2 linked regions of the Sus scrofa genome follow. The protein of the gene in region 2 interacts with the protein of the main gene of each other region in a pairwise test. Links are inferred from orthologs where the notes say so. Each region holds a gene or a part of one and is shown on either strand. Other genes may lie near its edges. The genes, in order: RTN4 and SNX15.

The links.
Region 1: the proteins of SNX15 (region 2) and RTN4 interact in binary tests that used the Homo sapiens proteins (3 or more experiments, as listed by UniProt). The two-hybrid records come from large-scale screens. The link is inferred for Sus scrofa from reciprocal best matches to the Homo sapiens genes SNX15 and RTN4.

The regions. Positions count from the first base shown.
Region 1 is NC_010445.4:86,211,650-86,223,937, reverse strand, and holds the start of RTN4 (reticulon-4), read right to left. Parts: upstream 8,104-12,288; 5' UTR 7,934-8,103; coding exon 7,900-7,933; intron 1-7,899. UniProt on the Homo sapiens protein: Required to induce the formation and stabilization of endoplasmic reticulum (ER) tubules. They regulate membrane morphogenesis in the ER by promoting tubular ER production.
Region 2 is NC_010444.4:7,147,748-7,159,940, forward strand, and holds the start of SNX15 (sorting nexin-15), read right to left. Parts: upstream 7,457-12,193; 5' UTR 7,322-7,456; coding exon 7,223-7,321; intron 7,165-7,222; exon of another isoform or gene 6,374-7,164; intron 2,171-6,373; coding exon 2,135-2,170; intron 1,930-2,134; coding exon 1,809-1,929; intron 1-1,808. Other genes in the region: ARL2 (ADP-ribosylation factor-like protein 2), read right to left, coding at 10,543-10,677. UniProt on the Homo sapiens protein: May be involved in several stages of intracellular trafficking. Overexpression of SNX15 disrupts the normal trafficking of proteins from the plasma membrane to recycling endosomes or the TGN.

The sequences.
Region 1 (12,288 bases), on a different chromosome or scaffold from region 2:
ACACAATTTCAGGTCCTTGTCTTTTTTATCACTAAATCTTCCCTGTTTTACTTCTGACAACTTTACAGTGCATTGGCCATTTCAACCACCAAACACCTAAGGAAGAAACATTTTACAAAAAAACTAGCATGAATTCTATATTTCCCTTTTATATACTAATTTAGTAACCCCCTATTCTGAGCAAGGAACTGTGCAAGTACTTTGTATACATTATCACTAATCACAATTCTATAAAGTATTTATCATTAGCATCTTATACATAAGGCAAGTGAGGGTTTGAAGTATTATTAAATAAACTTTGCAGGGTTATAGACTGAAATTCATGTCTGACCATGAAGGTCTCATTCCTTCCATTATACCACATTTTGTATTTATCAGTACTCAAGTTTGTTTGTTTGTTTTGTTTTTTTTTGGGGGGGGGGGCTCTTTTTACGACCATACCTGCAGCAGATATGAAAGTTCCCAGGCTAGAGGCTGAATTGGAAGTGCAGCTGCAGGCCTACACCACAGCCACAGCAATGCCAGATCCAAGCCACATCTGTGACCTGCACCACAGCTCAGAGCAATATCAGGTCCTTAACCCACTGAGCAGGGCCAGAGTTCGAACCCGCATCCTCATGGATACAAGTTGGGTTCCTTAGCACTGAGCCACAACAACTCCTAAAACTTATTTTCATAATTGTTGGTTTTATGTTTCAAGATAAAGCCTTAACTCTGTTATTTGCTATGAAATCTGAGCTCTCTTTAAGTGGTTGTTTCTGCTAAAAAAAAGTCTCAGTATATCGCAGCAAGGTAAAAACTACCTATGGTGGTTGTTGCTTTCCAAAGGAAATCCAAACTTCTTGGAGATAGAGAATAAAGAGGTTCCAAAACTATCACACCAATTTACATATAGTTCATATGGTTTTCACTACTTCCTTTAATTACACATTCCATTTCCACCTTTACTAGAAGATGACGAAAAATACAGCAGACGATAATTCTAACTTTCTACTTACAACTTCACCTCTTGTTGGCATCCATACAATAGGCACCAAACCTTAGAAATACAAAATTGCTATTTTCTACTATGAATAAAAAATACATGGAAAACATATTGTTCTGTAACTCTTATTAATAACCTGGAATGAGGGGAAAAGTCAGAGCAAATTATTAGTTCAAAAAAAGGGAATGAACTTCAGTGAACTATTTATATACTTCTATAACCTTATGCACCTGTGGCACACACTCCATATAAACACTCAATGAATAAATGACTAATAGTAAAGTATTCACTTCACTGAGCAGAATAATCTCTTAATTTTTAGATTACTTAGGTGGAAAAAAAATACACAAATGGGTGTATATAACAACTATACATTTACAACAGCTATCCTTACAGAAAATCTTATGGAAAATCAGAATTTTTGCAAATCTGTAATCTGAGAATAATAATTCCTAAATCTCTCTCCATTCCCAGCTTTATTAACAATAAACTTGGGGAGTATCATTAGTATTTAATAATTTCTTAATCTTTAAGTTGCTTTGAGCTCCTTAAGAAAACACTACATAGAATAAATATAAGATAGGGGTGATATAGCACTGAAGAGAGACAAGAGTATTTTAGCATCTATCAATACCTTACACAAATCTGTAAAAGATGACTGGATTTAAAAATTTGAAAGCAGTAAAGCAGATTTAAATAGATATATTTATACATTACATACTGACAAACACACACCCATAACATAAGGAAACACTACCCATGATAAAACAGAAACAGAATTTGGTCTCAGAATATTGCTCCAAAGACGCAAAGAGAAGAACTAGCTAAATTATAAGCATCCTTGAGCCTAAATTCTAGCAAGAAATGGAAACATGTTAATAAAAAAGGAACGGAACCTAGAGGATACCTGGAGACAAAAGAAGATTTCTATTCACTGCTTCAATATTTTTCCTACATTCGAAAGCATGTAATCCAATCCCTAAAGTCACAGAGAAATTCTTTCTTGGCCCACAGAGCCCTCACTAGGCTTGTTATAAAAACCATGTGACTATACTGAACTTTAACCAAACTCACCTTCTTTCATAGCTAGTGTGAGAGACTACTTACTGCCTCTTTCAGTGCAGAGTGAGAAACATACAAAAAGATGTCACGGTTCGACTACAAATGAATAAAACATCAAAACATGGATTATTTCAGCTTTTATAATTTTCAGTCTTCAACTGGTCAAGTATAAACATAAATTGTAGAATAAAGACAAAGTCCCTATGCCACTAGAATAATTTAATCTCTAGTTTTCTTGGTTTCCTTACCTGTAAAACAAAAATAAATATTAAGATGTCTTATATGAAGGTATAACCTAAAAATCTGGATTTACAAAAGTAGCTTAAATTACTTAATTGCTCCTTTAAGAAGGGGTAAGGCAGGGAATCCCTTTTATTTACCCCGTTTGAAAAAACAATCTTTAAAAATTTCCAAGAATGGATGTATATAAAGCTAAGGAGAAAACCTGGCTGAACATCAAAGTTCCTATTCTCTTACTTTGTTGAAAAGCTGTGCAGAGTCAATGAGAAGACACAGTGATGAAGCCACCACTGTTTCTGCCTTCAATATGTACATATTATATATAATATATAATAAATATAAAGTAATATAAGCCACAAAATAAAAGCAAGAGATGGACGTTCTGAGGAACACTGGATTATGTCCACCTGGGAGGATTAGTGAATACTTCAGGAAAGACTGGGCCTTTGATGACTTGACTAAAATGAAATGGGAAGAAGGAATTTAGACAGAAAAACACAAGCAAATGCAAAGAACAGGCATGTTGAGCGAAAAAGTCCTTCAATGTGGCTGAAGACAAAGTAATGATAGGATTATCAAGGCTAGAACTAGACCACAGAATGCCTTCTCAAAGTCCAGGATAGATACTAGGAACTTAATTTGAAAAGTAAAGAAAAAGCCCTTAAGTGGTATACTTAGAGCCATACTTTAATAAGATTAATTTGGCTTGACACATAAGATTTAGCAAAAAAACAGAAGTTCCTTAGGAATATCCTTAGGAATATCCAGATGTGGGTAAATGAAGAAAAGAGAGGATGTTTCCATTGCTCCCATTACTATCCATCAAGACTTTAAACCATATATAGGACAAAACAATTGCAAATTTACTCTTTCAAATTAAATGTGGTTCTCATCAAATAATTTACTTAAAATTGACAAAATAGCTATCTCACAAAGAGTTAAAACCATCAGAAATGCGTATGTTGTATATAATCTTGGCCAAGGTCTCAGGACAGATTTTCCTAATACATTGCTCAAAATAATTTGTATCTTTCTGGAGGGAAGTTTTGCAACATGAACCAACAACCTAAATACTATAATTCTGCAATTTGGAAATAATCATGAATAAAAACAATAATTTACATTCAATTATATTCATTTTAGCATTGTTCATACTTGCAAAAACTTTAGGAATAGCTTGAATACTTAACTACATGGGATTAGCAGTATGTATTTAGACTATTATACCCATTAAAACAATGTAGAGTATTTTTTAAGTGAAAGTACTTCCCCATTTAGTGGGAAAAAAAAGATTACAGAACAAAATGTACCACATGTACCCCCTTGCAACACATGCACACACCATTAGAAATGTACACCAAAACCACTCTGTGAAATGAGTTTTATTCTTCCATAGACCTTCACAATTTTCTACCACACACACACACAGACACGCATACACAAAGTTTTGAGCTACTAAACCAAAATCTAGAAGAAATACCTAATGAACGACTAAACATTGGATTTCAACTAAGTTTAGAACTGAAACACAGGATCTTCCTCCAATCAATGGGTCTTGCAATTGATTAATGCCCCAGGTCCCTTCTCTGGAATTTTTTGGGGTGTTTTTTTTTTTTTTTTTTTTTTTTTGGTTTTTTGGTTTGTTTGGTTGGTTGGGTTTTGGGAGGCATTCACAGGGATTAAGTAAGGCAATTACTTCAAGCAGCAAGACCTCTGCTTCTCTCTTCCTGAATGGTAGTGTGAGTATGCACCTGTACCCATGTAACCTTAAGCTTTGAAAGAAACTACAAGTGACTTAGCAAAGGTAGAGGTCAAGGAGCCCTACAAGAACTTCTTCATGAAGTATGCTCCAGAAGTGGTACAAAGCCAGTCTGCCTCACCGTATACTCAAACTGAATTTAAATGCTAGAAACATTTCTGTCCCCAACCTACAGACTTTTCTCAAAGGTCAACTACAGCATGTTAACTGCCAAATCCCAAAAGCATTAATAATAATGGGCAGTGCTAGAGGTCCCTGGTGGCCTAGCAATTAAGGATTCAGCATTGTCACTGATATGGCTTGAATTCAAACCCTAGTCTGGGAACTTCTGCATTCTGTGAGTGTGGCCAAAAAATAAATATTTATTTATTTTATTTTATCATTAAATTAAAATCTCCTTTTTAAAAATGTGGGCAGTGTTGCACATATTCTTAAACTTCAACAGGGTCCACAATCATTTCTCAGTCTTCATATTTAACTACTTCTCTGTAGTATTTGACCACTCTTCCCTTTTTGAAAATAGGGAACCAGCACTATCCTTCTTTCCCTGCTCTGACTATAACTTCCTGTTCCTGCATGTCCCTACAATGTAGGTTTTAGGCTTTCTGTCCTTAAATTCCATTCTCTATGAAATATCCTTGCAGTATTCATGTCTCACCTTGCATTCAATTCCCCATTTTTCATTCATCATTAAACCTGCCGTTTCTATGAGCTTCAGAGACATTCTATCACTTCAAATTTGAAGGTTCCAAAACAGAACTTGGCATTATTACTACCTACCTTAGCTCTATTTCGACTAATAATAAAGTACTAGCATTGCCAAGGTTTCACTCTGACTGAAATTTCATGTTGTCCTTTGAGTCCCTCCCTCACCCTAGCCCCACAAATCTATGTCAAATGTCAAGTACTCCTCTCTTAAATTCTCAAATCTGTCATTTCCTTTTCAGGCCAAGTTCAGGCACTATTTGCTTTTAAACCTGGGCACAAATACGGCCATCCTATTCTCCTTCTAAGTGCCTCTGCAATTTATCTTACACAACACCCTAAAACAGTCTTTTAAATCTCCTATCATTTTATCACTCCGTACTTTAATGGAAGAGCCTATTTCCAAAGGCTCTTTATTTCCTTTATAATAAAATCCAAAACCCAATGACTTCTGCAATCTGGTTCAGGGTATCTTTTTAAAAACCAGAAAACATCAAAACGGGAGCTTCAGAAATCACGCAAAAGAGGAAACTGAAGACCAAAAAGGGTAAGTCTCTTACTCAGACCAAAATCAAATTAAACTAGAAAAAAGAAACTTAAACACTTAAATTTGCCTGATTATAACATGAATTACAACAGGGTGCTGAATACAGTGCCACATTCTTCCCCTGTAAATTCTGATTTGGTAGATCTGAAGAGGATCACAGCAATCCATATTTTTAAAAAGCACTAGGTGAGTCTCATCTTCAAAGAAGTTTGATGAAACCTAACCTAGATCTTGCAAATCTTCTATACTCTTAGATCATATCAACTTATCTTTCAACTACTATCCTATAAAGATTCTTTTCTACCCAAAAAGCTGTATTCACTGTCTCAAAAATACCTTGTTTAGTGGTTACATCATTCTCCCCCGACCCAAATGCCTAAACCTATCATTCCTTTCTATTTTAAGTGCTTCAAAAATCTTTTGACCTGTCTTAATCAATGCTTCCCATATAACCCAAAAAATCAAGTATGACATAGATTTAATTTGTTTTTAATATCCTGCTAACAACAACAGGAAATTCAAGAAGAAAAATATGTAAAAGAATATCAATTATTAATGTTGGTCTTAGCCTGAAAGATAAATGCTTTAAATACTAGCCATTCGGCCAAAAACAACCCAATGTTTAAAAAACACTGAAATCAGAGTATCTCTCACTTCTTTTATACCTTCATATGCTACCATCATCAGATGACTGAATGTGTTTCTACCATGGCACTTAGAGGGTAGAGGGGTGGTAAAGAAAGCAGCAGGGAAAAAAAAAATGGCCTTAAGTTTTTTTGTTTTGTTTTTTAATATACCTAGAGAGCTTAGATTAGATACTTTCCTCTATTGTTACACTTTTCATAAAACGAGAAAAAACTCATTCCATGGCAGCTTCAGCTTCTCACTGATTTCCATTTATGCTGTAATCTATAATCTACAACATTAAAATTAGCTGCTGATAAAGAGAATACTAAAATAAACCTTAACCAATGAATCAGAAAGAGTCTTTCCAAGCAAAAAAAGCCAAAGACAAGCATTAAAAAAAAAAAAAAAAAAATCAAGCCACTTCACTTACAAAGTGAGCCTCCCCAGAGATATTTAAGAGTAAATTTGATTTTATATTTAGTATCTAAAAATAATCAAAATAAATCTTTGGTATAATATGCACTATACTGGATCTTAATTTCTCCAGTCTCAAAATATCCTTAAATTAGTTGAGTACATAAAGAATTTAAGATGTTATTAAATGGACTAAGGTTCAAATTACAAATACAGAGCCTAAAAAGTTGCAGAATAGGCCCAGATGTGACTTTTCGCCTATTTTTTAAAGCCTATATTCCCTGTATTGTTAGCACTACTATCATTTTTACTAATCAAAAACTAGTGTAGCAATTCACCTTTCACTTTGTAATGCTAATGGTCAGAAAGATGAAGAAATAAAAATCCTTCTCTTCATTAAATTCACACATAAAAAACCATAGAGATAAAAATCCAAAGACGTATTATTTTCTGTTCTTTAAATTGTAACTATAAAAGCTTTCCAATGTCTCAATATGAACAAGATTAAGCTCATGTTTTCCCCACAATACTTTATTGAACAAATTTTTAAAAGAATACTGTAAAGGTTACTGTAATTAGCTCCACAGATTGCTTTTAGAAACATTATCACCAACCCTGCTAAAATTCTGCTATAGAAATAAATAATGTTTTAAATTATAAAACTTGAACATGGCCAAAAAAAAAAAAACTGCTTGTGTGGAATGTCTAGTTGGACTACTTAAAAATAGCTCTAATAATTTTTAAGACAATTTATTGTAACGCCAGGTATACAGTCTACTACCTTCCCTTTTTCTTAAAATGGCACATTTAACCACTGACATAATAAAATATTTTTTAAATATTCATTACACTTATGCGCTTAAATTCTTACACAATCCCGATCCACTGAGACTTGAAAGGATCTGGGCTTTCAAGGGGGAGGAAAAGGGATCAAGATCACTGATTGGTTATTACAAGGACAAGGGTTAGTGACTTAAATATAGACACACATTTAAAACTACCATGTATACATTTTAACCATTTTAAGATATACAAAATTATAATCTAATTAAAAGGCCACTGGTAGTAACTTCAAAGATTTAATAATAAGATTTCCAAAGAAGAAAACGAGCTTATTGTAAATGCAAGATCTTGCTACCTACAGACCTTTGGATAGAATTTCAACCATTCCGAGAGTCAGCTTTTTAAAAAAATAGTCACAGAAAATATGTCATTATGAAATACAAAGATGGAAATGTAGATTCATCACACCAAAGTGACCAACAAATGAAATATGTTAAAACTAAACAGTTTACAATGTGCAATATTAAAGAATAGAACCTAATCAAAGATCGGAATGCAGAGACTAAATCAAATGCCAGTGAAACAGAACAGCATGACATTTTCTCATACATAACCAAATGCAAAAACATTTGAAATAGCTCTTTTAACTCTTTACTCTTAAACCTTCCACAGGCTTCATTTGCAATCCAAAATATATCTAAATGGCAAAGCTTATTCATAGAAATATTTTGTTGGTTACATAAAAAAAACTGAATAAAGGTTAAAAAGCAGATATACCCTTGTCCTTCCAATTTTTCTTCTGACCGTCCATCTCTTGTCACGATCTGCCCTCCAGATGCAATTATCAATTATGCATACCAACAGAAAAGCTGTAACTGCAAAAATCTACCCCCTGAGACATGAAATATGTTTCCTCAACCGAAGTCTGCAGTCTCCTCTGCTGCACAACTGCAGTCACCTGACGCCTTCTGGGTGTGGAGCAGTCTGACGCAGTGCAATCTGTAACTAGGCTACTAATACTCAGGCACTACCGCCTTCTATCTGTTTATTGTTCTAGTCTTTTGCTTGTTGCTCAGACCAAACAAAGCTACTTTTGCAGGGGGAGGGGCAAGCTACCAAAAGAAAGAAAAGGGGGTTGTTCTGGCAGAGTTAAGCATTGTATATACTTGAAATACACTTCAAGCCATGTGCAGTTTTTTTTTTGTTTTTTTTTTTTGACAGGGGAATTTACTGATGGTTTTCAGCTTCATTTAAAACTTTAAAATCAATAGTTACCTGATAAGATAAAAATGGACTGATCCAAAGAAGGGTAATAACTTAAATTTCAAGTCTGGTAAATGCTGAGTCTCTTACTTGCTTCTAAATAATCAGCATTTTGCACCCTTATAAGGAAGGGCATGACAGGAGAATCATGAAGTCAAATTATTAATATTTATTGAATATATGTTAAATTTCAATAGAAAAAAATTATATTCAATTTTAGCAGTTGAATACATATTTCTAACGTAATATTATTTTTTTCTTCTGTTACAACTATGGAAATCCAGAGACTTGCAAATATATACTTATTCTTATCACCTGCTCCAACTCAATCTTTCAATAAATATCTATTAGACACCACTGCAGGTACTATTAATAGACTTGGCTTGAGGAGAAATATTCATGTGCTAATTATATCATTTGCTTTGGGAAAAGGATATAATAACAAGCTAAAATTTTACTGATAAATACAAAGACAAATCCATAAAGAATTCCTGAAATTTTTGTTCAAATTTATGAAACTGGCATTCATTCCAGTGCAAAATATTAAGTCTTTACTAATGTTTCACAACTGGTTTAACTGATGGTTTACTGGTTTAATCATTAATCATTAAGCAGAAACATATAATGACAAATCAGCGAAAATATCTTCAAATGTGCGATATATTGAAGTATCATAAGATATGCAGCCTAAGGACGAAAGTACATACTTCGTAAGACTATACAGGTACACTTGAAATAGGTATAGTATTTTTTGGAACTTCCCATAAAACTGTGTAGGCTGCAAAACTCTGCAAAATCCTTCATATCAGAAGCAGCCTGAATATCAAGGGACTCAGTTCTTTGCCTCTATGCCTAAATGCAAACATAAATAAAGCGGAGCAATTTTTAAAGAGCGTCTAGTATTCTCAGTTCAAAAGTTAATATTTAACTTTATTCACTGAACCCCTGCAAAATGTGGTATTTGAGAACACTGTCACCAACTCATATCATGGCTGAGAATGTCTGGCCTCTCCATGCAACAGTTAGAAATCCCAAACTAGGCAGTAAATACATAATATTTCCAAAACAGTATTTCCTAATAATGAATCCCTTAAGGCTGAAGGCCAATAAATACTTTAGCATTAGAATAACACACTCAAAAACAGCACCCAAACACTGTTTTCAAATCAGAGATTACTACACTAATAAAAGGGGGGTGGGAGGAGATTTCTTGAAGCAAAGGTATTACCATTCATGTTATTCACATTTTCTGGTACTGGACTAGGTTCAATAATTTTTAAAAATCATCTGAGCGAATAAGAATGTGTAAATTCATTTACCTAAACACTAAATATACTTAATAGCTCCCCTGGCAGATTAAAAAGTCAAACTAGGAGCCCTGAAATTTAATCTTATATATAGCAATATCTAATTTTTTTAATTTTTATCATCTTGGGAATTCAGGCTATTATATTAAGTTACAGGGAAAATTAGCTAAGATAAATCAATTGACATTTTGCCCATTTCTTTCCTAGAAAGTTTTAAAACTAAAGTTGTTTTAAGCTTGGTAATCTAAGAGAAATGTGGTTAAATTTGAAAATCTTGATGAGACAAATGTGCTAAAAAGGTAAAGTCATCGGGCTAGGCTTATTGTACTAGGAGGAGCAAATAAATGACTTAGTGTATGCAAAAGACCTTAGGACAGTGCCCTACAAAAAGTGACCCTGTGCGCTAGCTGTTTACTAGTAAACTACAAGGAGACAAAGTCTGTAAAACACATATAAGAAAGTGCATATATTATGCCATTCAGTCTAGGCAATAACACAATAACCTCTCTGAACAGAAGAACCCCTCTACACACACACAAACTATGGTGCCAGGCTATCTGGTTCCATTCTCCCCCAGCTGAGAAAAATTTATCTTTGGATAGTTTATAGGTCCTATTTCATATCAAATCTCAATAGGCAAACAATGAACACAAATCTGTTTTTTAAAAAACCCTCCATTTATTTTGTTTTCCTTCAAGTATTTAACATTTTGTTTAATGAATGAAAAATTATTCCAAGGATTATTTCCAAACAGAGCAGATACATACCTAGTTGATTATTTTGGATAAGGAACCTATTTTCCTCCCTTAAAAGTAAAGGCTTCCAAAGGGGGGGACCACAGAAGATCCCTTCATTTACAATGCGAGCAAATAAAAGTGCTATTTGAATTCTAAGTCCTACTGTGTATTATGTATAGGGGGTAGGAGGAGGGTTATCCTTCTTCTCCTGAACTCAAAATCAGCCTAACAGAGAACTTCTGAAATAAAATTTCAGAGTTCATGATTGGCAACTTCCCATTCCTTCATGTCCACATAACCCAGTACCTCCCCTAGCATGTCAAAACCCAACACCCCAAACCTCCTCAAGCATATCCCTAATTCCTTTCCAAAAGGCTATCAGGCTCTAAAACTACATACACTTTATGTTTCTCTTCTCTCATATCTCAAATCAAAACTCTCATTTTCTTAGTGCACCTTATCTCATTAGCGGGAAAATTATATGATTAAGTCTTTCAAAGGAATAAATTCCTTTCTCTATAATGCTCTCATAAATACTGGGGAGGGGTGCAGAGGCTTATATCTCAGTGGCAGGATCTCAGACAGTGGAAGACTGTTTTTGGAATAGACAGCAATATGAAAGCTGTAAGACCGCCCAGCTCAACTCTCCCAAGATATCCCTCCTTTATCATTTCATTCCTTCCTCTAATTCTGAACCCCAGAGAAACTCAGGTTTTTGTCTTGCTTTGTTTGCTTTTCAATGTTAAGAGATCAAGGGAAATAAGTGAGAGAGAAGTGGTCATTCGGACTGAAAGTGCTACTCTCTAAATTGGGGGTTGCTTGTATACAACTATTGATAGCTAATACTTCTCCTTTCTGGCAATAGATAATAGAATTTTAAATATATATATATATATATGCACACACACATAAATATTACATATATATACACTATTTTTAAACTTATTTTAAAATTTATATTATTCAGAGCTATACAAAAGCATGAAACTAAACATATATCTCATTACCAAAAGATATTAATGCTGTTTAACACCATACGCTGTAATATAATGCCCTCTATGGACTAAATTATAGCACTTCAACATTAACTACTGAATTGAACCTTAAGACATGAATTAAGACTTTAGTCTAGAAAATGAGTAAGTTAAAATAAAAATAATGAGCATTTTATGGTCTATAAAAAATTTCATATAAGCTGCTGAAAATGAACACTAAAAACCATACAGAAACTGAAAGTGATCCTATTCAATGAGAACTAAGTAAATGACTTCTTGTATTATTATTTAAAATAAATATACAGATATTCCAAAAGATCCAAAGCACTTTTAAACTTGGAGTTAAAAAAAACTTAATAGTCATTAGGTTCTGAACAGATCTGTTAAAACTTTTTAAGTTTTCATTAAAGTTCCTATTTGGGGGAATGTCTGAGGTCCTTTCATGTTTACAGCAGCATGATTCCATTTGTTTGACTTAATACAATGTGTCAAGATTCAAAATACTTTTATAAAGGCATTTTCAAAGTTATTTCTTAGTTTGAAGCAAACATCCACAGCTCATTAAATTTCTTTGCCCAACTGAATTTCCACACAGTCAATTATAGAGGATGCCATAGACCTTGTTTCTATGTACAACACTAGATGGCACCAACACCATATATAGTTGGTGTTGTATAGTTGGCTGTCCAACCCAAAGCATGCAATCTGGCAAAAACTATTCTCAATTTTCTGGCTTTTTTAGGATTGTTGCCTGTTACTAGGGTACTAGATCAGAGTGTGATGGGAATAGGAAAACAGCTCCCCTGGTACTAGGGTACTAGATCAGTGTGTGATGGGAATAGGAAAACAACTCCACCACCAAAA
Region 2 (12,193 bases):
TCACCAGGGCTTCCGGCCCCCGGGGCCTGAGAGGATCTGAGCAGCCCACGCCCCCTCCCCATTCTCCCAGCAATCTTCCTTGGCTCTGCCCCAGGGTGGGGTTCTTGCAAGGAGGGACCAAGCTCCCCATTCGCCCATTTACCAGACATTTATTGAGCATCTACTATGTGCTAGGTTTAGAAGGTGAAAGAGAGAGGCAAGGTCTCTGCCCTGATGGATATATCACATCCTAGACAGGAGGAAGCAGGCAACCAATAAGAAACAAATCATTTCAAATGGTTCTGATGTAGCAGGGCGGCAAGTAAAATTCAGAGAGGGGAAGTGACTTGCCCAAGGTCACACAGCAAGTAGCCCATTTTCACAGTTTCACTGTTCTGTTTCAGGTATCACTCGGAGTTTTGTTTTTAGCTGTACCCCTGGAATGTGGAAGTTTCCAGGCCAGGGATCAAATCCAGGCTGCTGCAGTGACACACTGGATCCTTACCCTGATGCACCACAGGAGAACTCCCCATGCAGACAGAGTCAGTTAACTCTGGGCTAGTTATTATGCTGCCAGGGGGAGGGGACTGCTGTTTGCTCCACTGCTTGGCATATCCTGCCAGCAATGACCTTTCACCTTGCTACGAAAGAACATCTCCTGTGAGTCTAGAGACCCAAGGAAGAGATCAGCCCTGTTCACCAGAAATAGAATCTGAAAATTTACAATTTCCTAGTAGCTACATTTCACTTTATTTTTTATTTTTTTCTAGTAGCTACATTTTAAAAAAGTAAAATTAGGTTAATTTTAATTATATATTCTCTTTAACCCAATATGTTCAAAGTTTTTTTTTTTTTTTTTTTTTGGATGCACCCATAGCATATGGAGCTTCCCAGGCTAGGGGTGACACTGGAGCTGTAGCGACCACCCAACGCCACATCCACGGCAATTTGAGATCCAAGCCGCATCTGCAACCTGCACCACAGCTCACAGCAACTTGGGATCCTTAACCCACTGAGCAAGGCCAGGGATCAAACCAGCATCCTCTTGGATGCTAGTGGGATTTGTTTCCATTGCACCACAATGGGAACTCTCTGTCCAAAGTGTTCTCATTTGAACATGAAATCAATATGCAAATTAGCGATAGTTTGCATTCTCTTTTTTGGGGGAGTGGGGCTCACTCTCAGCAAGTGGAAGTTCTCAGGCTAGGGGTCAAATCGGAGCTGCAGCTGCCGGCCTACGCCACAGCTACGGCCACGGCCACGTGGGATCCAAGCCGTGTCTGCAACCTACACCGCAGCTCATGGCAACGCTGGATCTTTTACCCACTGATCGAGGCCAGGGATCGAACCCATGTCCTTGTGAGTAGGAGTCAGGTTCGTTACCACCGAGCCATGATGGGAACTCCTGCCGTCTTCTTTCAGTGTGAATTCGGCCCTTACAGAACATCTCGGTTTAGACGAACCACCTTTCTCGTGCTTCTCAGCCACGTGTGGTTCGTGGCCACTGTGTCTGGACAGCATAGGTCTAGAGGAAACTTTGCCACTTACAGGTCGAGCCCCTTCATCTCTGAGCCCGTATCCTCTCCTTGGACATGGAGCCCGTGAGGACAGAAATGGCAAAGGGTTTGGCACATGATAGGGGCAAGGCTCACAGCAGTTTCTCCATCTGTAAAATGAGGCCACCTCTACAGGCCCATCCAGCTGTCTGAAACATGGCACAACCAGGAGTGTCGGGCCCCCTCTCTCCAGTCCGCACCAGCAGGGGTCTCCTTTGGCCAACGCTCCCTCCTCCCTCCGTCTTTGGCTTGAATGCCTGGGTCGAGGCTCACCAAACACCTGGGCGCGGGGGAAGGCAGGGAACTCCTCTAGGCGGCGGAAGAGGTTGCGGTGGGTGTAGGCCAGGTCCCCATGCAGCTTCCGAAAGTCGCTGTACCGCTTCCAGACCACCACCTAAGAGGGACAGGTGTCCTGACCGGGCGGAGCAAGGGTGGGATTCGGCCTTTCCCACCCCAGCCCTGGGCTCTGTGTGCCTTATGGTGACACACCCAGCGTCAGGGAGGAAGGTGGGCTGCTTGCCTGGCAGAGCGACCCCCTGTTTCTTTACCGTTTCCAGATCTGGAATTGGGAAAAGGTCCCCTCCTCCCAGGAGCCTCACCTCTTTGACATCTTCCGGGTCCCTCTTTGAGATGAACTGAGGAAAAAAGGCAAGAACCAGGTGAGACCAGAGACAGACACCTGACACCCCATCACCTGTAAAAGCACAGGATGCCCTGGCTACCGCCCAGCCCCCTTCAGAGGGGCAGACCCTTTGACCGCAGGTATCAAGGTGTTCTGGCTTTGGAGTTCCCATGGTGGCGCAGTGGTTAACGAATCCGACTAGGAACCATGAGGTTTCGGGATCGATCCCTGGCCTTCCTCAGTGGGTTAAGGATCCGGCGTTGCCGTGAGCTGTGGTGCAGGTTGCAGATGCGGCTCGGATCCTGCGTTGCTGTGGCTCTGGTGTAGGCCGATGGCTACAGCTCCGACTGGACCCCTAGCCTGGGAACCTCCGTATGCCGCAGGAAGCAGCCCTCGAAAAGGCAAAAAGACAAAAAAAAAGGTGTTCTGGCTTTAAGGCTCTGAGCTTTTTTTTGACTTGAATATAATTTTATTTTAATTAGTGTCTCAAATGCACATCGTTTTATTTATTTATTTTATTTTAATTTTTTTGTCTTTTGTCTTTTCAGGGCCGCACTTGCAGCATATGGAGGTTCCCAGGCGAGGGGTCCAATCAGAGCTACAGCTGCCAGCCTCCGCCACAGCCACAGCAACACCAGATCTGAACCACGTCTGCGGCCTACACCCCAGCTCATGGCAACGCTGGATCCTTAACCCACTGAGCGAGGCCAGGGATTGAACCTGCAACCTCATGGTTCCTAATCGGATTCATTTCTGCTGTGCCATAAGGGGATCGCCATCAAATGCACATAGTTTTAAAAATCACATGAAGGGCTCTGAGCTTTAAACTTTGAGCAGTTTTTCCTCCATGCACCTCAGTTTCTTCATCTGTCAAAGGGTTACCAACCTGGCTCCCTGGACTCTGTAATCAATAGAAATTGATGAAGCCAGACGAGGAATTCAGGCAAGGCTGAATGCGGACCCATTTGCACCACCAGGGAGTGAAAACAAGTAACAGACACCCTTACTCGTGTTGCTCTCCCAGGAGGGCTGGCCGGTCCCTTAAATGGGATGAGGGTGGGGGCGGATTAGCAGAGGCGGCTGGAGGGGGGGCTTAGGTAGTCTGTCCACCCCCTTGTGGTGCTGTGTGTCCAGGGATCATGCTCAGGAACCCGCTGATTTTGCTCCTGGCACTTGGTTTGCGGCTTTTGTGTATCTTACTGTTCATGGCTGCCTCGACTGTGCATGCATGCAGTTATCCGTAGCCCCTACAAGCTTCTTTGCGTTCTCTGTCGAGGTGCAAATGCAAGCTCTTTAGTAAAGTTCCAGCCTCTCTCAAAATGGGAAGGTCCTTAAAGGTCTGTCTAGAGCCTCAGCCCTACCTTTTTTTTTTTTTTTGCTTTTTTTAGGGCCGCACCTGCGACACATGGAGATTCCCAGGCTAGGGGTCAAATTGGAGCTACAGCTGCCGGCCTACATCAGAGCCTCAACAACTCGGGATCCGAGCCGCATCTGCGACCTACACCACAGCTCATGGTAACACCAGATCCCCAACCCACTGAGCGAGGCCAGGGATCAAACCCAAAGCCTCATGCACGAGTCGGATTTGTTGCCGCTGCGCCATGAAGGGAGCTCCTCAGCCCAACTTTTATCTCAGTTCCTTCCAAGGGCCAAGTTCCTGCATCTCCTTCTGAAACCAAAGAACCCCAAGTTCTCTAAAGAATGAGTTTCTGTCCCAGGAGCCACCCCTTCCTTAAAGGAGGAAGCCTCGGTGGGCGAACACTCCTGGACACAGAAGAAACTGTCACTGGGGTTGGGACTCCTGAGTAGACTAGTGTCTGAGGTGGAAGATTCCATTTTCATTATATGCTCCTAACAGTTAAAAAATAACATCTTACAGCTCAAAGTAACTTTCACAGTTTTCACAACAACTCCTGTTCAGTATCTTAGATCCCAGGGAGGCAGACGCGATTAACAAGTCCTTTTAAAAGATGAGGAAATAGGAGTTTCCATTGCGGCACAGTGGGCTAAGAACCCGACTGCAGCGGCTCCAGGCAAGGGGCAGCGCAGGGAGTTAAGGATCTGGTGCTGCTGCACCTGCGGCCTAGATCGCAGCTGTGGCTCAATCCCTGACCAGGAAACTTGCACATGTCATGGGTGTGGCCAAAAAAAAAAAAAAATACCCCAAAACAAAACCTGATTAAATGGAAGCTCAGATGAGGGATGTGACCTGTCAGGGGGACTCCTACCCCTGAAACCCTGGCCTTTGCTGTTCACAACAGACTTCCCTAAAATAATATTGGTTAAAAAAAAACTATATTTAAAAACCAATGAGGGAAGTTCCCATTGTGGCTCGGCAGGTAACCAGCCCGACTAGTATCCGTGAGGATTCGGGTTCGATCCCTGCTCAGTGGGTTGGGGATCTGGCGTTGCCATAAGCTGTGGTGTAGGTCGAAGACGAGGCTCGGATCCCATGTTTCTGTTGCTGTGGCTGTGGTGTAGGCCTCCAGCTGCAGCTCTGATTCAACCCTAGCCTGGGAACTTCCATATGTCGTGGGTGAGGCCCTAAAAAGCAAAAAACAGAAAAACAATAAAACTCTGAGGGAGTTCCCTGGTGGCCTAGTGGGTTAAGGATCTAATGTTGTCACCGCTGTGATTCAGGTTTGATCCCTGGCCAGGGAACTTCTGCATGCCATGAGCATGGCCAAAAACCAACCAACCAACCAAACAAAAAACCCATTAAGGAATATATCCCTGACAAATGACTCCTACTCAGAATATAAAGAACTCCTACAAATCAATATTAAAAAGACAAACAACTGAACTTTACAAAATGGATAAAATACCTCAACAGGCACCTCCAACCAAAGAAGATTTTGAATGGCCAAAAAGATTTTGAAAATATACTCAACTTCAAAATTGTCACCAAAGTAATACTCCAGTGAAATATTACACACCCACCAAAAATGGTTAAAATTAAAGATGCTGGAGTTCCCACTGTAGGTCAGTGGGTTAAGAACCCAACTAGTATCCCTGAGGATGTGGGTTCAGTTCCTGGCCTCAATCAGTGGGTTTAAGGATCGAGCATTGCCATGAGCTATGGGCATAGATTGCAGATCTGGTGTTGCTGTGGCTGTGGCATTGCTGTGGCTGTGGTACAGGCTGGCAGCTGCAGCTCTGATTCAACCCCTGGCCAGAAACTTCCATATGCTGCAGATGCAGCTGTAAAAAGATCCCCCTCCCCCCCGCCAAAATGTTGATGATACCAGGTGCTGCTGAGAATGGGAATATAAAATGTTACAACTATTTTGGAAAACTGGCAATTATTGGGAAAGCTACACATATGCTCATCAAATGACCCAGCAATTCCCAGGGACTATCTTTTTTTCAATTCTTATTTATTTACTTATTATTGACGTAGTTGATTTACAATGCAAACACGTACATACATTTTCTTTTTCAGATTCTTTTCCATTATAGTTTATCACAAGATTATACAGTTCCTTGTGCTATATAGTAAGACCTTGTTGATTATCTATTTTATATATAATAGTTTGTATCTGCTAATCCCAAATTCCTAATTTATTACCCACCCTCCCCCTTTGGTAACCATAAATTTGTTTACTCTGAGTCCATTTTTGTTTTGTAAATAAGTTCACTTGCATCATTTTTTAGATTCCACATATAAGTGGTATCATATAACATTTGTCTTGGACTTTTTATTTGCATTTTTTAGGCATGAGAAAGACATAAAAGATTTGGGGAAAGCTCTTTTTTTTTTTTTTTTTTTTTTTTTCTTTTTGTCTTTTGTTGTTGTTGCTATTTCTTGGGCCGCTCCCGCGGCATATGGAGGTTCCCAGGCTAGGGGTTGAATCGGAGCTGTAGCCACCGGCCTACGCCAGAGCCACAGCAACGCGGGATCCGAGCCGCGTCTGCGACCTACACCACAGCTCACGGCAACTCCGGATCCTTAACCCACTGAGCAAGGGCAGGGACCGAACCCGCAACTTCATGGTTCCTAGTCGGATTCGTTAACCACTGCGCCACGATGGGAACTCCGGGAAAGCTCATTTTAAACATCTAGGATAGGATTCTGCATTTAAACCACTTTGAGGAACATTTAGGATAGAATTCTGCATTTAAACCACTTTCATGGCTCAGTGGTTAATGAATCCGACTAGGAACCCTGAGGTTGCAGGTTCGATGTGGCTGTGGTGTAGGTCGGCAGCTCCATCTCCAATTCGACCCCTAGCCTGGGAACCTCCATATGCCTCAGGAGCGGCCCTAGAAAAGGCAAAAAGACAAAACAACAACAAAAAACCCACTTTGAAAGTCTTTACGTTTTTGCTTCACTTTAATAGTTACTAATGCATCAGTTTAACCAGCCTACTGCAAAATTGTGAAAGTATATTAAAAAAATTTACAGTGAAAAATCTTTCCCAATTAGGTTTTGTATATGGCTCTACAGATATCGTTATATTGTTGCTATTTTAAATTTTCATGATTTCTTCCATGTCTCTCTATAATATATTTATAACGTTGGCACTGCTTCGTATGTCAACTTTAGTCTGTATATACTGACTTCTCGTTATGACTGTGAAGAGGAGACTTACTCCTTAATTTCTTTTGAACTGTATGAGCTTTTAGTCCTACACAAGCATTATTTTTTGAAAAATTAAAAGTAATTCAACTCCTTAGAGGGCTTTTATGTAAATATCAAACAAACCAATAGACAGAACTTACTCCAAGAGATTGGAGAACTAACCAATATTTGGGTTGAGCCAGAGTTTTCATATTAACTTAAAGAAATTAAGTTTGATTGCCAGACGCCGAGCGTAGGGAGTGGGCACCCACACCTCACCGGCTGGGTACTGCTGTCACGCCCTTTTAAGAGGGCAGCGCCCTTCTATGGCCCCACTCCTAGACGGCTAAAGAAGTAAACGAAGGCTCTTACCGCCACCGTCTCTTAAAGGGGAAATTCATTTCCAGCGTCTAAAATGGGAGCTTGCAGCAGCGTCTCGCCTTAAGGTAAAACACGGCCCCCTCTTGTTAAAAGGGTAAAAGTCCCCGCTGGGCCCCATCTCACCTGCGCGGTGACTTTGTACTCGGTGTAGCCCTTGGGGTGGGTCCGGGGGTCGGAGACTGTGTAGTGCCGCAGGAAGTCGTCCTTCGCCTGGCGGGACATGGCAAACGAGCTGGAGCGGAGCTGCCCGCCGCCCTCCGCCTCCTCCGCGCCGCCCCCGCCCCTCCAGGTCAGTCTCCACGAGCCAACGCCTCTCCTGGGCTTGCGCCCTTCATCCTTTTGCCCAGGGACCTGGTCGCAAGTGACAGTGCAGTTCTCGGCCGGGGCGCTCGGCCAAGGGAGCGTCTAAAAAGTTCTCGGTTGTTGGTGAAGCATGAACGAGACAATTTGAGAGTAAGCATTAGGATGGGTGGATAACTAGGTTTTGCCTAGACATGAGCCTACCCCATGTGAGCTGTAAACCCTCATCGCAGTCTCTCTAAATGACTTATTTCATCCATCCACCTGACTTTTACTGTATTCAATATATGCCAGACAGTGTCAAATTATTTCTCCCTCCCTAGGATTCACGAAATTCATGTTTTCTGGAAGGAGGGGGGGGGTGTTGAAACGATGGTGTCATGGGCTCTTACTGTCTGCATGAGTTTCCCTTAGCCCATGAGTTTCCCTTAGCCCATGAGTTTCCCTTGAGCCTCAGTTTCTCATCTCTAGAATGGGGAGGTTTATAATAGAATCTACTGCAGCAGATGTTTCTTTATCCTTTGGTGGCCTGTCCGGCATTCACCGCTGCCTCCTGCTGTTAGCATCTTAGCACCAGATCTTTGTTTGGAGGTGGTTCACTGGTGTGTGCAGCCCGTGGGCCTGGTAGCCCAGAATCCAAAGGTGGAGGCTGCTTTCCTTATCCCAGGTCCCAGGGCAGGGTGGTGGGCTCTCTCCTGAAGCCTTAAATCTTGAGTGAGGGACAGAATGCATGGCAAGGGGATTGAATTGTTCCCTGAGTACAGTGTTGGCTGTAGGTTTGGCTGTCCAGCCTTTTGGAGCACTCTGTTTTACAAGCCTAGATATCTGACTTCCATCAAGATGCTATGAGTTCCCAGTGTCCTTCCTCGAAAGGTTCTTTCTTTCTTCTTTTCTTTTTTTTTTTGCTTTTTTTTTTTTTTTTTGCTTTTTAGGGCCACACCCACAACATATGGAGGTTCCCAGGCTAGGGGTTGAATTGGAGCTATAGCTGCAGGCCTACATCACAGCCACAGCCACAGCAATGCCAGATGTGAGCTGTGTCTGCAACCTACACCACAGCTCACGGCAACGCTGGATCCTTAACCCACTGAGCGAGGCCAGGGATTGAACCCACAACCTCATGGCTCCTAGTCAGATTTGTTTCCGCCGCACCATGACGGGAACTCCCGGAGAAAATTTCTTTCTGTGGAAAGCAGTCGTAATTTGTATCTGGCAAACCATGCAAGACCCTGCCTGATGCTACCACCCCCAGGCTGTGAAGCTTAAATGAGGGAGCATGGGTACAGCGCTCATGGCCACTCTCTTTACTGGAACTCAGATGAGTGGGTGCTGTAACTCCAGAAAGAAACACAATGCAAACTCCCAAGTCAGACTCTTAAGATCATGGAAACAAGTTAGTTCTTTCTTTCTTCTTTTCTTTTTTTCCTTTTTTTTTTTTTTTTTTTTGCTTTTTAGGGCCACACCCACAACATATGGAGGTTCCCAGGCTAGGGGTCCAATCAGAGCTACATCTGCCTGCCTACGCCACAGCCACAGCAACACTGCATCCAAGCCGCCTCTGCGACCTACACCACTGCTCACAGCAACGCCAGATCCTTAACCCACTGAGCGAGACCAGGGATCAAACCTGCATCCTCATGGATGCTAGTCAGGTTCATTAAGCACTGAGCCACGACAGGGACTCCAGGGCAGGTGGTTCTATAGTTCCGCACTGGAAAGCTTATGTTCTAAGTTTGTCCGCTCAACACCTCCCTTCTTCCACCCTAACAGAGCCCAAATTTTGCATAGGCCCCTCCCCTTCAGGAAAGGGTCCTGGTTTAAGAGTAAATTGGTCATTCTTCCTCTTTTCCCTTGAGAAAACTGCCCTTCCCTCATAGACACATTAGGCTCCTTGCACCTGGCATTGAGTTTCGAGAAAAGAAACAAAAACTAAAACCAGCAGGGTTTAGTGGCTAAGCGTGCTGGGTCCAAATCCTGGGCCCTTGCTTCCTAGCTGAATAGGGTTTTTTTGTTTTTGTCTTTTTAGGGCCTACCTGTGGCATACAGAAGTTCCCAGGCTAGGGGTCCGATCAGAGCTGTAGCCCCTGGCCTACACCACAGCCACAGCCACGGCAGATCTGAGTTGCGTCTGTGACCTACATACACCACAGTTCACGGCAATGCATGGATCCTTAACCCAGTGAGGCCAGGGATGGAACCTGTGTCTCGTGGATGCTTGTCGGGTTCATTACCATTGAGCCACAGTGGGAACGCCCTAGGTGGATAGTTTTGGGTAAGTCACGTCTCCTCCCGGAGGCTCAGTTGCTTTATGAATGGGGACACTGAGAATCTGTCCTGTTTGGGGCTGTTCTTCAGTGTGATGGCAAGTGACAAATCTTCAGAGGGAACCCTGCAGAGAAAGCACCACTGGCAGGACCACAGCAGGGGGCCCTGTGAAAACTTCCATCTGCTCTGCCACCTGGATGGGGGTCCTGGGGTCCCCCTGGTTCCCATGCTCTCCCAGTCTGGTTCCTGCTTCAGAAATGCCCTTGAGCCTTGAGGGAAGGCCCCTTCGCAGCTCTGCTCTTCGTTAGCTTGCTCTACTTGATGCCTGCTCCTCCTTCCTGCATCGGAGTCCGTCCCCCCCGCTCCCCGCCTCCCTGCTCCCCCCTCACCCCGTCTCCCAGCAGCCCTGTCCTGCACTTTTCTAACTCTCTGCAGTCCCTTTCATACAGCGAGTTCACCTCGGACTGCAATTACCTTTTCTGTCCTCTGCTGGCCAATGAACTCCAGGCGGTCTCTAGGGTTGTTGAATCAACAAATGACTCAGCCAGGAATGGGGGCGAGGAACACTTTATTCTCACAGCTGAGCAAAAGACGAGGCCCACAGCCTTGACAGCAGCAGACGCAGCCCCCTCCCAGCCCCAGCCCTCTCTTCTTGGTATAGTTGCTGCTGCCGCAGGCCAAGTTAGGAGCCAGGGTGACAGCCAGGGCGGGAGCCGGCTGGCCCCGGAGCAGCAGTGGGCAGCAGTAGCAGCAGCAGGTTATGGAGTGGGGCAGGGGTGTTAGTGGGGCTGGCTGACTCCCATGCCCGCGTGGATGGTGCCTGGCGAGGGCCTGGTGGGGGCGCCTGGACCGTGAGGTGAGGGGGCATCTGGAGTGGCTCAGTCGGCCATGAAGATGCGGCTGGAGATGTCATCCAGGAGCCAGTCGATGCCAGGCAACAGGTTCTCCCCGGTGACGGCACTGCAGCCCTGGATGCACCAGTGGTGGCTGCGGATGGAGTCCAGCTCCAGGGCCTAGAAGGGAGGAAGGTGACAGAGGGCCCCGGTGTCCACAGGGCCCGACCCCCCTCAGCCCCTTTCCCCTCCTGGCCCAGGGGAAATCCACACCTCCCTCCAGGGCCTGCTGTGGGAGGCTTCCCCTGGCCCCTGGTGAAGATGTGTCACACACACCCCCGCACCCCGCTTCCGCTCCACCGTCCAGAGCACCTGAGCTCTCTGTACACGACAGCCAGACCAGCACGGCAACAAGGGCTCCCGATGTGGTGCTCTGGGCCCTACAGTATCCTCTCACCCATTCCCCCCCAAGGCCCCATGAGCCAGGGATTGTACTGGCCATTTTACTGAGGAGGAAACTTCAGAGAGGTTAAGCAACCTCCTAAAGTCACACAGCTAGTAAGTGGCAGAACCCAGTTTCTAACCCCACTCTTTCTCGTTCTAGCCTTCCAGTCTACAATCAGACTTAAGATGCACTCTGACAATGGGAGGTCCCAAGAAGGAACACGTGCTGCCAAATACTAACCAGGAGAATTTGGGAGGGGCCGAGAGAAGGAAGGAGGTGACCAACCTCCCAGGATCCTTGGCGCTGGAATCCATCTTGGCTGAGGGATGCATGTGCCACCAGAAAAGGACCCCAGCTCAGACCAAATTATGGGCCAAACAAGATGACTGGCCAGAGACAACCCAGACACTAACCTCATTACCATAAAACCTGAGGCTTTGAGCCACATGGCAGCAAATCCGATTCCCTTACCCTACTGTTCTCTGCCCAGGGAGCCTCTTCCCAATAAAGCTTTTTGCTTTGTCAAAAAAAAAAAAAAAAAAAAAGAGTTCCCATCCTGGTTCAGTGGCAACGAATCTGACTAGCATCCATGAGGATGCAGGTTCAATCTCTGGCCTCGCTCAGTGGGTTAAGGATCTGGTGTCACTATGAGCTGTGGTGTAGGTCGAAGGCTCGGCTCAGATCCTGAGTAGCTGTGGCTGTGGTGTAGACCAGCGGCTACAGCTCTGATTCGACCCCTAGCCTGGGAAAACTCCATATGCCACGGGTGCGGCCCTAAAAAGACAAAATATAAAAATAAAAAACAAATAGGAGTTCCCGTTGTGGCTCAGTGGTTAACAAATCTGACTAGGAGCCATGAGGTTGCGGGTTCGATCCCTGCCCTTGCTCAGTGGGTTAAGGATCTGGCGTTGCCGTGAGCTGTGGTGTAGGTTGCAGAGGTGGCTTGGATCGTGCGTTGCTGTGGTTGTGGCATAGGCCGGCGGCTACAGCTCCGATTAGACCCCTAGCCTGGGAACCTCCATATGCCGCAGAAGCAAAAAAAAAAAAAAAAGACAAAAATAAAAAACAAATAAAAGTGACTCAAAGACATTTAAAAAAAGTAAAGAGAGAGAGTTAAGATACAATCTGGAGTCACACCGGCCTGTGTTTAAATCCTGGCTTGTCTGCTTACCCTGTGACCCTGGGCCAGTTACCTTTCTAAGCCTGCCTCACTGTGTGTAGAATGATGTAATAGTTCCTACCTTGTGAGGT